Linked DNA regions of Arabidopsis thaliana. The protein of the gene in region 1 interacts with the protein of each later gene in a pairwise test. Each region holds a gene or a part of one and is shown in the gene's direction. Other genes may lie near its edges.

Region 1 (3,747 bases):
GTATTATATAATGAAAATCTTTCAGTTAAAAAAAAAAAAAAAAAAAAAAAAAACTAGCTTATTTGGGTTGTCGTCTATATCACATATCTAATCGATGTAACAATTCACTGAATCGGGTGTTACAAATAACATTTGTTTTCTTCACTAAAAGTATAAGATACTGGTACAACGCGAAATCTAACCTATATTCGAATCAAATGACACGTCATCACTTGGGTGTCTATTTGTCCACAGTTGAAAGTTATAAGAAGCAGACAAGTGTCTCATAAAGACATCGAGATCTGATTCGGTTCTCAGGTACATACAGTTAATCGGGAGTGTTGCTTTCCCCTAGAACTATGGAGGCTACTATTTAAGTGTCGTTGTGTAACAAAAATCCTGTGTTTACTTGCATTACTTAAACTCCTTTACTTTAATAGTTTTATATATGTTTTCGACCTCCCTTTTTCGACGGAGTGGATCGCTATGACATGTAGGCATCTGATTGTATTTGCTAATCTGTTTTTGTTAGTATGTTAAATTTTTAACCCAATATATGTTTATAGTGCTTATATATTCTTACTTTAGTTACATATGAATATATGATCATTGATGAATTAAACAATATAATGTAATAATTAAATTTGATTTCCCTGATCGAATTATAATTTATATGTTTTGTAATACGAATCAATTAAAATATTTTCTTGTTACACATTTTGATAAAATGTCGTAGAACGTTACTTAAAAGTAATGATGCATTAACAAAATGTACAACATATATTATAAAAGTTATCATCAATATTATAGGCATTCGACTTTCAGAATGTGTATCAATAATCGAAGTAGTAATGGAACGATTATTGAAAGTATACTACGGTCTCTCTTTACTTCATCGTGGATTCTCATTAAAAACAAAAGTACTTTCTCTACCGGCAACTATTGAAAGTATATTATTGTTTTTAATAACTTTGATAGTGTTTCTTAATTATTAATCCCAACGTACGATAAAATTTTGTTTGATAAAACTCACAAAAGTTTAGTATATTTCTGTAAATATATGCATAGAAGTCATAGTGATTGACAGAGGAAAGACGTCTCTTTGACTACTCTTCAATCGAAAACAAAATGTGCTAAAATTTCAAAAGCAAAGTCCCTAAACTCGCCTAACTCCATTTCTCATTTGACTTTGCCTTAAATGTCAATAGTCCTATGTTATTTAGCTACATTCAAAATTGGGAATTAAGAATTATTTTAGACTCCATATACTTAGAAACGAATCCGTATTGGAAACTAATTTCCATTTAGTAATAGTATTTAAGTATTATTATGCTTACCGAGTAGCATGTAGTAGTTTCTTAATGTTAGCTAATTTCAAAGCAAACGACGAATATTAAATCGTGATTGCACACAACAAGAAGTGATTAATAAATCATTAATTTCGCCCATAGTAATCACTAACCAGAGTAATTTTGAACAAGACTAAGGATGTACAATAACTTACGTCTGCGATACTGTGTGGTAATAAATATAGAAACTTTATGAAATAGAACTCTCTTACCAAAGAAAGAAAAAGCAAGAGTGCGTGTTACTATACATCTGAACAAGTCAAAGGGTCAAACCTTAGTATTTTAAAATTACACAAACAATTGACCAAATGGAGAGCTAATTATGTTTAGCATAATTTACTATATAGTTGCAAAATTCCACTTTAGAAACAGAATAAAAAAATAAAAATTGAACATAACACTTATGCCGTGTTCCAGTCACTCTTCAACATTCTACTCATTTTCAAATATCCTTTTTATAAAATACTACTTTTAAAATTATTTGATTCTTATGTTCCTTCACTATATATATATAAATATCGCACATTGCTTAATCACTTCAAATCTAATCCACAAAACCATTCACACCATCTCATCTTCTTTCTCTCTATCTCTTTTCCTTTCCTCATTTAAAGTTTCTTTATAAGAAATGGAAGATTACGAGCGAATAAACTCAAACTCTCCAACACATGAAGAAGATTCTGATGTACGGAAAGGTCCATGGACCGAGGAAGAAGATGCAATCCTAGTCAACTTCGTCTCTATCCATGGCGATGCTCGTTGGAACCACATCGCTCGTTCCTCTGGTATCATCAAAACATCAATCTCTAAATATACATATACACAAAGGCTTTATATATAGATAAACTTATATATATTTTACTCATATATGTGCAGGGCTAAAGCGAACTGGTAAGAGTTGTAGATTAAGATGGCTTAATTACTTACGTCCAGATGTTAGAAGAGGCAACATCACTCTCGAAGAACAATTTATGATCCTCAAACTCCATTCTCTTTGGGGCAATAGGTACACACTATATATCTCAAATGTTAATATTTTGCTATTCTATATGTTACTAGTTAAGTATGTTATTAATATATGTCTTTTTTTTCAATTGAATATATAAGGTGGTCGAAGATTGCGCAATATCTACCGGGAAGAACAGATAATGAAATAAAGAATTATTGGAGAACTCGAGTCCAAAAGCAAGCCAAACACCTAAGATGCGATGTTAACAGTAATCTTTTCAAGGAGACTATGAGAAATGTTTGGATGCCGAGATTAGTGGAACGAATCAACGCCCAATCATTACCCACCACGTGTGAACAAGTGGAGTCAATGATCACCGACCCAAGTCAACCAGTTAACGAACCGAGTCCGGTCGAGCCGGGTTTCGTTCAATTCAGCCAGAATCATCATCAGCAATTCGTACCGGCTACGGAATTGTCAGCAACGTCTTCGAATTCTCCGGCTGAGACGTTTTCGGACGTTCGAGGTGGGGTGGTGAACGGGTCAGGTTATGATCCGTCGGGTCAAACGGGTTTCGGAGAGTTCAACGATTGGGGCTGTGTTGGTGGGGACAACATGTGGACTGACGAGGAGAGTTTTTGGTTCTTGCAGGACCAGTTCTGCCCCGATACGACATCGTATTCGTATAATTAAGGAAATATACGATTACTATACGTAACGAGGAATTCAATTGCGTCACGTTTGGTGTAATATTCATTCGTGCGTGATGCCAATTTTAGATACGGCCTTGGTATACGAATCTTGACTTAATTATTATCTTTTCTTTTCCTCTCTTGTTTTAATCCCCTGATTAAATTAAGATTTGATCATCAGACGAGGATATTTGTGATTCACTGATTTGTGATATTGATATATGTGAATTATTTGATATAACGTTTTAAAAACCAACAAAAAAAAAAAATCATTCCAAGGAAAAGTTCTTAATTTTGATACTCGAAAAGAGCGTAGACTGACTCGAATCAGTTCATATTTTCTTTGGTTCGTTTTATTTACGACAAAATTCACTAACAAAAATTAAAAAACGACAAAACGAAAATATGACTAAATTTATTTTTTTGACAGTTAACCACTGATTATTGGTTCAAATTGTCACAACACATGATTTATCTTGATAGAAATTTAGTAGTCCAGAATGCTGCATGGTTGATCCTAAGAAAAACAAATCATGCAAGGACCAAGGACTTACATTACTTAATTATACTTAAACGCTTTATAAAATTCACATCAAGTGATTCCTGACGATGATCCAGTAAAACCCTTCATCCATATCGTTGCTTCCACACGTAGTTTCGATAATAAACTCGTGATTATCGCCAAGATGCGATGTATCAACCACTGAAATTCTCTTCCTTGTCACGTTTTCGTCTCCGACGATATTTCTGTAAAGTTTCGCAGCAGACGAAGAAGAAT
Region 2 (4,113 bases), on another chromosome or scaffold:
GTCTCTGCACTGAAAGTAAATTAGAAGTTGGAGATTCTTGTACATTTAAACTGCTTCACAACGCCAAAATGCCCGTGTTTCGGCTCTGCAGCAAGCTCCCAAAGGCTGGAGCAGAGGCTCGGCCACTCAAGAGAGCTCGAGTCCAAAGATGGAGCCAAGAGAGTAGATCGAAGCATGACGTGAGGGAGAAGATAGCTGAAGAAGGAGAACCTTCTCGTCGCAATCGCACATCTAACAAGTCTACTGGTGATCAAGGAAAGTTGCAGCAAACGCAATCTTGCTTTATCTTTGATCATGTGGCTAAGGTGAACCAGAGCGTTGATAACATGGGTAAAAGGCAATGTATAAATGAGTCTTGTTGATTTTCAAGAACATCTACAAGGTCTAGCTAACTTGTCCAACTTTTGTGAAAACAGGAAAGCTTCTGAGAAAGAAACATGTGAACAAGAGGATTCCTGAAACAGAAGCAAAGTCTTTTTCATTATACAAGTCTTGTTTCGTTGCATATGTAACAGATTGGAACCTACGAGAGGATACACTGGTTGGTACTTCAGATCTACTGTTGATTCCTTTTGAGAGCCGTGAAGGTTGATTACTCATGTTTAAAATTTTACTTTGCAGTCTCTTCCAAGGAATTTTGTTAGGTCCGATGGTCTGATTAAAGGAAGTAACAAGATTGTTCTAATGAATGAAGGAGCAAGGACATGGACGCTTATTCTGAAGTTTAGGGATTCACGTAGATCGTTTTACAGTAGGGGTGGCTGGAGAAGTTTCTGCCGTGAGAATGGGCTTAAACCTGGAGATTCTGTCACGTTTAAACTGGAGAGTAGCAACACAAAAACGCCTCTACTCCTTTTCTCCATTGCAGAATCAAAGAGTGCTTCCACAAAAGATAGGACCCGATTTCTGACACTAACTGTCACACCATCCAGTATCCGCAGTTCCAGACTTGTAAGTTTTGTTCCCTTGTTTTTGGTATTGATGCTTTGTGAAGTGCACAGAGTATATAAGCTAATTGTCTCCCTTTCTTTGCAGTATCTTTCGAAGAAGTTTATTAGTGTTAACAAGATGGAAAGGGCAGGAGGGAAGAAGATAACTCTATTGGACAAGAATGGAGAAGAGTGGCCAGTGACCTTACTGATGGATAAAAGATATACAAGGATGGTTTTGGGTTCAGGGTTGAGAGAATTCTGCAATGCTATTGGCGTTAAGGCATATGAATCTGTGGTGTTGGAGTTGGTTTGGGAAGAGACAACAACTCTTCCTATGTTCAAATTCTGCTCCAAGATCAAGACTTGACTCTAATTTGCACCCAAGTTATTATAAGTAAGAATGGTCTGTTTTAGTGAGCTCACAACCTATGCAGTATGAATCCAGTGTAGTCTTTCTATTTATGTCAACAACATTTACTCTAATAAGGGTCTTGAAAACAAGTAATAACAATATATAAGTTCTATCTATTATCACTATTCTGTAATATCATCTGCGTAAGTTAGAGCTTAGAAGCTTTCTGCATAACAATTGATCAAAACGCTAATTACTCTAACTGGCCATTTCGGTTGGTTCTTGATTATTCTGATGCACAAACCTGTTATGATGTTTACATTTCTCTTAAAACTAACTTACACTATATAGATAACTATACTCTGCCTCAGCTAATGCAAAAGCCACAAAACTAGATTATATCTCCAAATAGAAAATAAAGAAAAAGGAGCAATGCCACCAAATCAGTAAACGAGATGTTAGCACCAATCTTTTTTTGGTAATGAATTTTCCTTCACCAAAAGAACAAAAAGTAGTGACTCATTTAATGAAAAGAGAATAAAAGGAGTGTTCATTAATGAAACAGGTAGCTGGAGCTCTCATTAATAAGAGGAACCATGCGAGGATTACCAAAAGAGTAAAAGACACTCATAAACTTAGACTGAATCATTTTTTTGTTTTGTTTTCTAGGGCTTTCTTTTCTTGGAAACGCTTTATCTAAATCTTTTGAACAATGGCGGATCCAGTTCTTCAATCTCCGAAAAACTCACATTTCTTCCAGCCACTTCTTCCCGGCTTCGACTCTTACCTTGTACTACTCTCTTATACGAGTAAATACAGCTTATGTTGAGAGAGATGGTTTCGTTTTAATAATCTCTTTTGCATGTTGTTGCAGAACATTCCTGTGAAGTTTTTCTCAAAACGCATACAAGGAAGAAACGAAGGAAGGACAGTGGAGCTAAGAACCGACGCGTCTGAAAAAACTTGGCAAGTTAAGATCCAAGGTCGGAGACTAACAGTGGGCTGGAAAGAGTTCGCCAGCGCGCATGATTTCCGAGTTGGGGATATTATCGTTTTCAGACACGAAGGATCTTTGGTATTTCATGTCACTGCATTGGGACCCAGTTGCTGTGAGATTCAATATGTACCGTCTTGCAATAATCAGGAGAACATTAGTAAGTTGTCTTCTGTTTTTACCTTCCCAGGAAATTCACATTTTGTTTTGAAGATTCTAACTTTTTTCTTCTTGTGATGCAGGTAACTTGTCGATGAAGCAGAGCATAAAAACAGAACTAGAGTCTTCACTCGACGAAGACAAAGTTAACATGGGTAAGTCAATGTACAAATAACTCTTGATTTGTTGGCGTTTTAACACCATCTACATGGTCTAACTTTTCCAACTTTTATAAAAATAGGAAAGTTTCCAAGAAAAAAACATGTGAAGAAGAGGATTCCTGAAGCAGAAGCCAAGTCTTTTTCATCAGACAAGTCCTGTTTCGTTGCACATGTAACAGATTCTAACTTACGAGAGGATACACTGGTTGGTACTTCAGATCTATTGTTGATTCCTTTGGAGAGATATGGAAGTTGTTACTCATGTTTAAATTTTTTACTTTGCAGTTTCTTCCAAGGAAGTTTGATAGGTCCGATGGTCTGATTAAAGGAAGTAACAAGATTGTTCTGATGAATGAAGAAGCAAGGACATGGACGCTTATTCTGAAGTTTAGGAATTCAAGTAGAACGTTTTACATGAGGGGTGGCTGGACAAGTTTCTCCATGAGCATGGGCTTAAACCTGGAGATTCCGTCACGTTTAAACTAGAGAGGAATAACACCAAAACGCCTCTTCTTCGTTTCTCCACTGCAGAATTAAAGAGTGTTTCCACTAAAGATTTCAACAAAATAAAGAGAAAGGAATCTGGTGACAGTAGCCAAAAAGTTCCATCATCGTCATCTTCAGTAAGTGAATACCGATTTTTGACACTAACCGTCACACCAGCCGCTCTCAAAGATGGTAGACTTGTAAGTTAAAACAACTCTCTAGGAGGAGTTTTGTTCCCTTGGTTTTGGTTATCATCAATGCTTTATGAAAGTTCACTTAGTTAGTGTAAGCTTATATTCTCCTTTGTTTGCAGCGTGTTCCAATCAAATTCATTAAGGGTAACCGAATGGAAAACCTAGGAATGAAGAAGATAACTCTGTTGGACAAGCATGGAGTAGAGTGGCCAGTGAATTTAGTCATGTACAAGGGAAATACACAGACGCGATTCGGTTCAGGGTTGAAAGAGTTTTTCAAGGCTAATGGCATCGAGGCATGCAAATCTTTTGTGTTGGAGTTGGTTTGAGAAGACAAAACAACTCTTCCTATGCTCAAGTTCTGCTCCAAGGCCAAGAATTGACTCTAATTTGCATCCAACTTGTTCACAAGTATAATCTTTTATATTGAATTCATCACCTATGTGGTATGAATCTAATGTAGTTATGAACTTTTTAGGTAAGAGTCAATGCGTCTATTTAAGTCAACAAAATATTTACCTACTTATGGGTCTAAATGAGTCTGTCACATGAATGGCAAACAATATGGCAATTCACGAACATTTAAATTCTACGTATAATCACCCTTTATTACCATAGAAGTCATTGTGTAATAGTATCTACATCACTATTGTAACTTTGTAAGCTAAAAAGCTCTGCTGATTTTCAAATGTTGTAACATACCACATCACTGAGCGTCGATCATCTTGGTGTCCATATCTCTCACCGGAGGTTTGGATTTTGTACAGACCAATGGAGTTGAAGTTGTAGGGTCTGACCAAGAATCGGCAGCCTGATATTTTACCTCTGGATCTTT
Region 3 (3,675 bases), on another chromosome or scaffold:
CTCCATTGCTTAGCTTCCGAGATTGCAACTTTGTTAGGGAAACATTTATGAGTATTACCTCAGATTACTGTCCACCGTTAGTACGTAATCTGAGGATTGTGAACGCAGGACTCGGACTGATCTCCGTAGGAGTCTTACTATGTCTGGTGCTATGGATATTCTATGCGAACCGCCCCCAAAGGGAGGAAGTGTTTGCGGATCCACACCCTCAAAGAAAAGATGATAGCTTTGGTAACGGCTTGGATACTCATCACTCAGATGACGAACCTAAGCTTTCTGTAGAATGCGTATAGTATAGAGGTATAGTTAGATAGAATCAGATATTGTATTTCATAATGATATGAAAGAGAACAATAAAAACATTTTGTAGCGTTCATGTTACAGTAGAAGAGGAAGAAGAGACCAGAAGTGGAGCGAAGTTTCACTTTCTGGCTTTTGTTTTCACAATGATTTCGAGTCTTAATTCAGATACAAACTCATTATGAATTCTATATACAAGGGAGATATAAGTATTAAAATGTGATCTTGTTGGTGGCAAGAGCCATGAGATTAAATGGTCTGATATGGTTTTTGTTTCCATTCCATAAAGCTTTTGACATGAGACGGTAAGTGTGTTCTGTGGGATGATAAAAATCCCAAAACAGAAACTCATTTGGGTTATTGCAAATCTTGTATCCTTCTCTTCCACACTGCATCAATCCTCCCAGTGTACCGTTCCCACAACACGCGTTTGAAACATCCGAAAACCCTTCACCAAAAACATGATTCAGCTTTCTCATAGACACATTTGAAAAAGATCTCAAAGATGGAAGTTAATTAACTATATTGAGTTTACCGTAACGGGCAGGGTAGGTTTGAAATCTGTGAGTGATACCATATACAGCTCCAAACACCGCAATGGCTCCAGGGTACTTAGTGGGGATTATGTTCACTATATCTTCAAGTCTTTTATTATACATCTTGGCCATAACATTCATCTTACCAAAGCATTTATTGGTTGGGGCATTAGGAAGCATGGCTCTTGCAGGGACACAACCTACAGGACCTAAGGAGAAGAAAGCGATGCGGCGTGCGCCTAGTTTGTAGATCTGATCAATCGTTTTGTTCACTTGGTCTAACATTGCGTTCACATAAGCGTCTGGAGAAAGTGTAGGAGCTCGGAATGGGAGGAAGTAGTTGAAGATGTCGTTAGAACCAGTTTCTAATAAGAAGAGAGACTCTTGGATTATAGATTTTTCGATAAGGTTTTGCTCTACAAGTGTCTGGAATTGCTGTAGCTGGGTTTGGATCGGTGTCACGCCCTACATTTGATATGTGTACTTAATGAGTGATTCACAAGAAACAAACATTTTATTTGGTCAAGGTAGATATTTACCATAAATTTGTTGGTATCAAGCAAGAGACCACTACCAGCACTAGCAAAGTTAATGCCATTTGAAAAGTTTGAAGTTCCATTCAAGATTTGAATCTGCAATTCCAAGAATGGTTTCTGTAATGGAAGGCCTACAAATTCCGCTGCAATTATTGCGTCAAGAAAAGAAAAAAGAGACAAAAGTAAGGTTCCTTGCAGAAGAAGAAATGTTTTAGTTAACGAGTTGGGAGGTAATTTGTTACAGATGAAGTCAGCGACGGTTCTTCCGTTGGTGAACCTCCCAGTAGGACGGTGGAAAAAGGAAGAACCATAAGGAGGAAAATCAGCCTGAGCGGTACAGTTTTTGTTGTAATGGTTGTTTCCGGCGTCAAAAATAGAGTCACCGAAGGTAAAGATAGCAGGGACGGTGGAAGAAGACTTGGCCAGAACAACCGGAGAGATTAGAAGAAGCAGACACATGAGTAAGTCCATTGAAGAAGAAGAAGACATGGGACAAATGAGTTTATAATCATATAAAAGGAGATTATATACTGACACACATATATATATATATATATATATATATATATATATACAAAATTGACACGGAAGGCAAGAACATTGTTCATGTTTTTGCACTTACTCTTATGTGTGATTAAAGTTTCAAACTTATTCCTAAATTTCTGCTTCTTATTACATAGATGAAGGAAAAAAGAGTAAAGCGTTTTTTCCTTTAGAAGATGGGCTTCAAGCCATGTTGAGAAATTTCATGGATTTTACTGCATTTTCAGCTCTGAGGCCCATACGGCCCACATAGGATTGGTTAGAAAAAAATAGAGAAGTAAATAAGTAAAGATGAAAAGCATCAGAAAAAGAGATTCTGAAAGAATAAAAACATATTCTTTCTCTCAAATGCTTTCCTTTTAATGGAGACGAAGACGGAACCCTAATTTCCGCAAATTCACTATGAAGCGTATTATCAGAATCTCATTCACCGACGCAGAAGCCACCGATTCTTCTAGCGACGAAGACACGGAGGAGCGTGGAGGAGCATCCCAGACTCGGCGCCGTGGGAAACGCCTCGTTAAAGAGATCGTAATCGATCCTTCCGATTCCGCCGATAAACTCGATGTCTGCAAAACACGGTTCAAAATCAGGATCCCGGCGGAATTTCTCAAGACGGCGAAAACGGAGAAGAAATATCGTGGAGTGAGGCAGAGGCCGTGGGGGAAGTGGGTGGCGGAGATCAGATGTGGAAGAGGAGCTTGTAAAGGACGACGTGATCGTCTCTGGCTGGGTACTTTTAACACTGCTGAGGAAGCTGCTCTAGCTTATGATAACGCTTCAATTAAGCTGATTGGACCTCACGCGCCGACCAATTTTGGTTTGCCGGCGGAGAATCAAGAGGATAAGACGGTGATTGGAGCTTCTGAGGTTGCTAGAGGCGCGTGAAGTGGGGTTGGTAATTTAGTTGTTAGCATTAGCAAGAAGGTCTCTCTCGTATTTTGTAAATTCATCTTCTGATGTTGTGTATGATCTTGATGTCTTTCGTCTATGTATATATATGAAACTCGAGAAATGAACTATATTTTGATTTACACACAAATTTTAAGGTACAAATTTTTTTGAATTTTTAAAACGTTTAGGAAAGAAAAGTTTGGGTTGAAATAGGCTCTTTTTATTTGTATACTATTCAATCTTTTTACCATTTATGGATCAACACATAATAGAACAGAACTCTAACCAAATTGAACGTTAATGACTTGGATCAGAGTTATATTTTGATGGTTGATGAAAAGTTGAAAATTCTTTATATATCTTTCCATCTTTTGGTTCTTGTATCACCGTATCAACGATACATTTTTATACTTTGGGGTGTCTAATGAAAAATACTGAATTTATCAATTTACTTTGACTTGTTGAAGACTGATGGCCATGGGTGAGGGGTTTGGAGATAAAGAAAGTAATAAAGAACATGAAGAGATCAGCTAAACCAAGAGACTTCATCATACACATGATATATATGATCTTCTATAATACTATAATAGTAATGACTAAAGAGGAAATGAATGTTTTCGATAATAGTAGTGACTAAAGAGGAAATGAATGTTTTGACAAGAAAAAAAAGAAAAAGAGAGGAAATGAATGTTTACATGTACGTGCACATGAGTTTAAAAATAATAAGTTTGAGGAAACACAAGTGCGTTAGAAAAAAAGCAAACAGATATTTTCTTTTGACTTACGATTATGAAATTGAAAAAAAAAAGGATCTGAAGATAAATTTTGATTGGTTCACAAACTTCACATGATAAACAAGAAGATTT
Region 4 (3,911 bases), on another chromosome or scaffold:
CTACGTAAAAGTAGTATTAGCCACTACTTGCTAAACATTTTAAAGGGACATCTTAAAAAGTGAAGATGATTCTTCACAAATAAACCACAACGGTCACGTGAGTCTCGTGCTATTGACTACTATTGTTGAGGTCGGTCAACAGTGCATTGCCCCATCTTTACCTTCTTCTTCCCACATTTGTTTGGGATATTTTTCAATTTACTCACTTTATGAATACAAACAAAACAATAAAACTAATCTCTTTTGTGTGTAGTTGAAAGAGATAAGATCGCAGAAAAGAAGACGATGATTCGTCGACTTTTCTCCCAACATTTTGAACAATTAGTTGTTATGTGTAATTTTCTATAGATAGCTACTATCTGATTACGTGGATCACACTTCTCTTTTTATTATTATCTCTTTAGGTTTCTTATCCCATATAATATGATATCAGGTCTCTTTCTCGAGTAATACATTATATATCTATGTTGATTATTTACTACTTGTCATTTAAGATAAGATACTTAAAAATACTTGTTATTGGATTTTGCCGGAAGACTTAACTTTCAAACTCTATTATATGTAGAAGATAGCGGACTGAAAAATACGTCGAAGACAGATACTTCTATTGCATAATTTTTGGGTAGGGACTAGAAAACTTACTCGTAGTTTCGACATATCATCCGCAATCTCAAATTAATTGCAAACTTTTTGATCATATCTATTGAAACTATCTTTCTAGCTTCATTAATTCGTTACCAGCCCCCAATATAAGCTATCAAGTATGAATATTAAGATGGATTTAACGGTGATAATAGTAGTATGTACAGTTTCTTTTGTCAACAGCTGATAAAAAAAATGAAAGCTTCTAACAGTTTGAGCCTAAAGAGATCATATATGTGAACAGTTTCACACACACATAAGCCGTACAACTAATATAGATATCACTTTGACCGTAAAAATCTAACAGTTTAGATCACACACACACAATCTTGAAACTAGTTTAAAGCACTTTCAGCGAAAAGTACTCACTAGATGATAAGAACTCTTTGGCACGTAACAGACGCTTTCGAACCCTACGATTTCAAGAGGTGGCTTATGTACGGTCCACTCAACTTCTTCATCCGACGGTCTAAGATTGGTCATGTGGGTTGAACTACCAAAAGGGCCAAAAGCGTGAGCCACGTTACATTATAAAAGATTTTGTCTTTTTAATCCAACGGTTCACACCAGAATCTCCAATTCGGTTCTGTCTCCTCTCGTGTCGGTCCATCTCTCTGGCTCTTCACCTCTAGCCACGTGTTTCTAATTTTGACCTTTTAAAATTTTAAGAAAAAAACAAATTATTTCTTGTAGCTAAAATTTAGCATCCAAATTCCAAACTCAGAGTTCTCTTCTATGGCCGTATGATACTTCCAATAATCCGTATGTATGTGAATATCATAATCTATCACAAACATAATGAATAGTAGTAGATATTAAGACAATCAAATTTGGTAGAAAAAATATCTTCCTACGTTGGGAATTATGTAGGACCGAATAATATAGTCGGCTAATTCGATATTTTGTCGCGAACCACGACATAAAATTATTTATCATCATTTGTGAACAATAATGATTCAAAATTATCAATAACACCACCTTTTTTTTTTAAGTTCCTTTACTTCTGGGGTCTCTAGAGACCCACACATGTGCACAAAATATACGTGTGTCTCTCATAGACTTTAAAGCAAAATTAGAGAACACTTATTTTTAGCCAAAAAAAGTAATTAAAGAAAAAACTATATAAAAACAGTTTAAAAAGGGGATGATATTAAATGATTTTCATGTGAATTATAAAACGTATTGAGTATTATCGTGACCGACTTCAAAAAACAAGAAAAACCTCAACTTCTCTTTTTCAGCTATAGCCGCCGCCTCCTCCCACTAAACTCAAATCCTCTCATAGTCTTTTCAATCAAATCTGCTCTTCTTCACTGTTGAAGCTGGCTATCAAAACTCACAATAACTATGGTGATTGATTGATTCTCTTTCTTACTTAACTCTGTTTTAGTTTCTTTGCAAATTCTTATATTAACCATTTGGAACTGGTCTAAACATTCTTCAGGGACCGATGATGATGAGAGCAGAAGAAGATAACTACAATCTAAATCCTCCACCATGGCTAATCCCAATGCTAAGAGCAAACTACTTCATCCCTTGTTCAATCCACGCCGCTTCCAACAAAAGCGAGTGCAACATGTTCTGTCTTGACTGTTCTTCTGAGGCCTTTTGCTCTTACTGTTTGCTCAATCACAGAAACCATCGTGTCCTCCAGGTTCTTTCATCAACTTCAAATCATTTTTTTCTCTCTTACCAATTCACCCAACAGAGTTAAGAAAATGGGATTTTCATTACTTGCAGATACGGAGATCATCGTACCACAACGTTGTGAGAGTAAACGAGATTCAGAAGTACATAGACATATCTTGTGTTCAGACATATATAATCAACAGCGCAAGGATCGTTTTCTTGAACGAACGTCCTCAGCCAAGAATCGGCAAAGGAGTCACCAATACTTGTGAAATCTGTTGCAGAAGCCTTCTCGATTCTTTCCGTTTCTGCTCTCTCGGTTGCAAAGTAACTCTTCTTTCCTCTGTTTTCCTCTGTTTTGAATGAATATCTGAATTTGCTCTGTATAGTTGAAATGACCATATTGCCCTTTTGTTTGGTTTATTTCAGCTTGGAGGAATGAAGCGTGATCCAAGTCTAACCTTCTCTTTGAGAGGGAAGCATGGAAGAGAGTACGAAGGTGAGTGGGAATCTGATGAAGCGACTACACCAACTAAGATACGCAAGACATGTGCTTTCAACCGTCTGATGAGTGGTCTTTCCATCTCCACCGTTAAATGTGATTACTTGTCAGGAGATCAACCGTCTTCGAGCTCCGGTGATGAGAGCGGTTTTAAACTTTCTCCGGGGACACCGCCGATATATAATCACCGGAATTCAAGTAGACGGAAGGGCGTCCCACACCGTGCTCCTTTCTAAAATTAATACTAACGGAAGCTAATTATATAGTGTAGATTATAGAAAATGTGGTTGTTATGTTGTAACTAAATGGTTAGTAGTTTTTAACCTTTTGAGCTAGGAATATACATATTGTAAGACATATTACTTACAGGTATTGTTTGGTTTTTCTTTTTATAGTACATATAGAAATTAGGTATATACTGTACTCAAAGGGATTGAAATATGTTTTCATATAGTTTTTTTGCTGTAAATATACGTTTGAAGGAGGTATGTTTCTTCAACTTGTTTGTATCGTATACTGTGTACTATCTTCACAATAAAATAGCAAATATGATAACTAGGATTTTTAACTGAAGCGCTAATATTCGAAGAACTAAATTGTCAATGAGAATGATACAGACGAATAACGAGATTTAAAATAAGAAACTGTCGATCAAGACATGTATTAGTATTGTCAGAACACAAAAACATTGGTGATAAGCTGGGGCAAAAAACATTCTGGGTCTATCTATTTCAAGGAAAGGAGCTTCGACTCAAAAGAAGCTTATGTCATTAGAACTTAGAAGTCGATTGTTAACAACAGTTCAAATACTTCGTTTCCCTAAATTGGTTATCAAGTAGTTTCAACTTTAAACTCGTGCTATTAGAATTTTTTTTTTATTTTCGAACGATATAACGTGGTTCTTCGAAACAATACTTCGCTAAATCCTAATAACTTTCGGCATTTGAAATGCTCATGATGTCATGCATCTACCTTTTTTCCGTGGTTGCCTCACCTTTTAATGGTGTTTTGATGTTAAATTTTTTTATGTATAAGTTGTATTTTAGTTTTTTTTTTTTTTTTTGACTGACTTTTGGATCTAACCTATGATTTAAAGATCGGAGAGACCATTCTGATCTTTGTATCTGGCGGGTCTTGG

What was found.
Region 2: the proteins of MYB2 (region 1) and AT4G31660 interact in a two-hybrid assay, tested with the Arabidopsis thaliana proteins (one large-scale study listed by BioGRID).
Region 3: the proteins of MYB2 (region 1) and CRF8 interact in a two-hybrid assay, tested with the Arabidopsis thaliana proteins (one large-scale study listed by BioGRID).
Region 4: the proteins of MYB2 (region 1) and AT1G76590 interact in a two-hybrid assay, tested with the Arabidopsis thaliana proteins (one large-scale study listed by BioGRID).

What each region holds. Positions count from the first base shown.
Region 1 is NC_003071.7:19,374,328-19,378,074, forward strand, and holds MYB2 (myb domain protein 2), read left to right. Parts: upstream 1-1,657; 5' UTR 1,658-1,956; coding exon 1,957-2,113; intron 2,114-2,204; coding exon 2,205-2,334; intron 2,335-2,435; coding exon 2,436-2,970; 3' UTR 2,971-3,216; downstream 3,217-3,747. Other genes in the region: AT2G47200 (uncharacterized protein), read right to left, coding at 3,557-3,747.
Region 2 is NC_003075.7:15,332,023-15,336,135, forward strand, and holds AT4G31660 (AP2/B3-like transcriptional factor family protein), read left to right. Parts: upstream 1-1,990; 5' UTR 1,991-1,996; coding exon 1,997-2,074; intron 2,075-2,158; coding exon 2,159-2,438; intron 2,439-2,520; coding exon 2,521-2,592; intron 2,593-2,678; coding exon 2,679-2,803; intron 2,804-2,883; coding exon 2,884-3,084; 3' UTR 3,085-3,284; intron 3,285-3,397; 3' UTR 3,398-3,608; downstream 3,609-4,113. Other genes in the region: AT4G31650 (Transcriptional factor B3 family protein), read left to right, coding at 1-330, 417-541, 622-951, 1,036-1,299; UBP18 (ubiquitin-specific protease 18), read right to left, coding at 3,985-4,113.
Region 3 is NC_003070.9:26,820,560-26,824,234, forward strand, and holds CRF8 (Integrase-type DNA-binding superfamily protein), read left to right. Parts: upstream 1-1,957; 5' UTR 1,958-2,317; coding exon 2,318-2,803; 3' UTR 2,804-3,112; downstream 3,113-3,675. Other genes in the region: AT1G71110 (uncharacterized protein), read left to right, coding at 1-293; GLIP6 (GDSL-motif lipase/hydrolase 6), read right to left, coding at 513-748, 836-1,301, 1,376-1,515, 1,615-1,861.
Region 4 is NC_003070.9:28,738,886-28,742,796, forward strand, and holds AT1G76590 (PLATZ transcription factor family protein), read left to right. Parts: upstream 1-1,654; 5' UTR 1,655-1,989; coding exon 1,990-1,992; intron 1,993-2,086; coding exon 2,087-2,296; intron 2,297-2,382; coding exon 2,383-2,598; intron 2,599-2,700; coding exon 2,701-3,009; 3' UTR 3,010-3,346; downstream 3,347-3,911.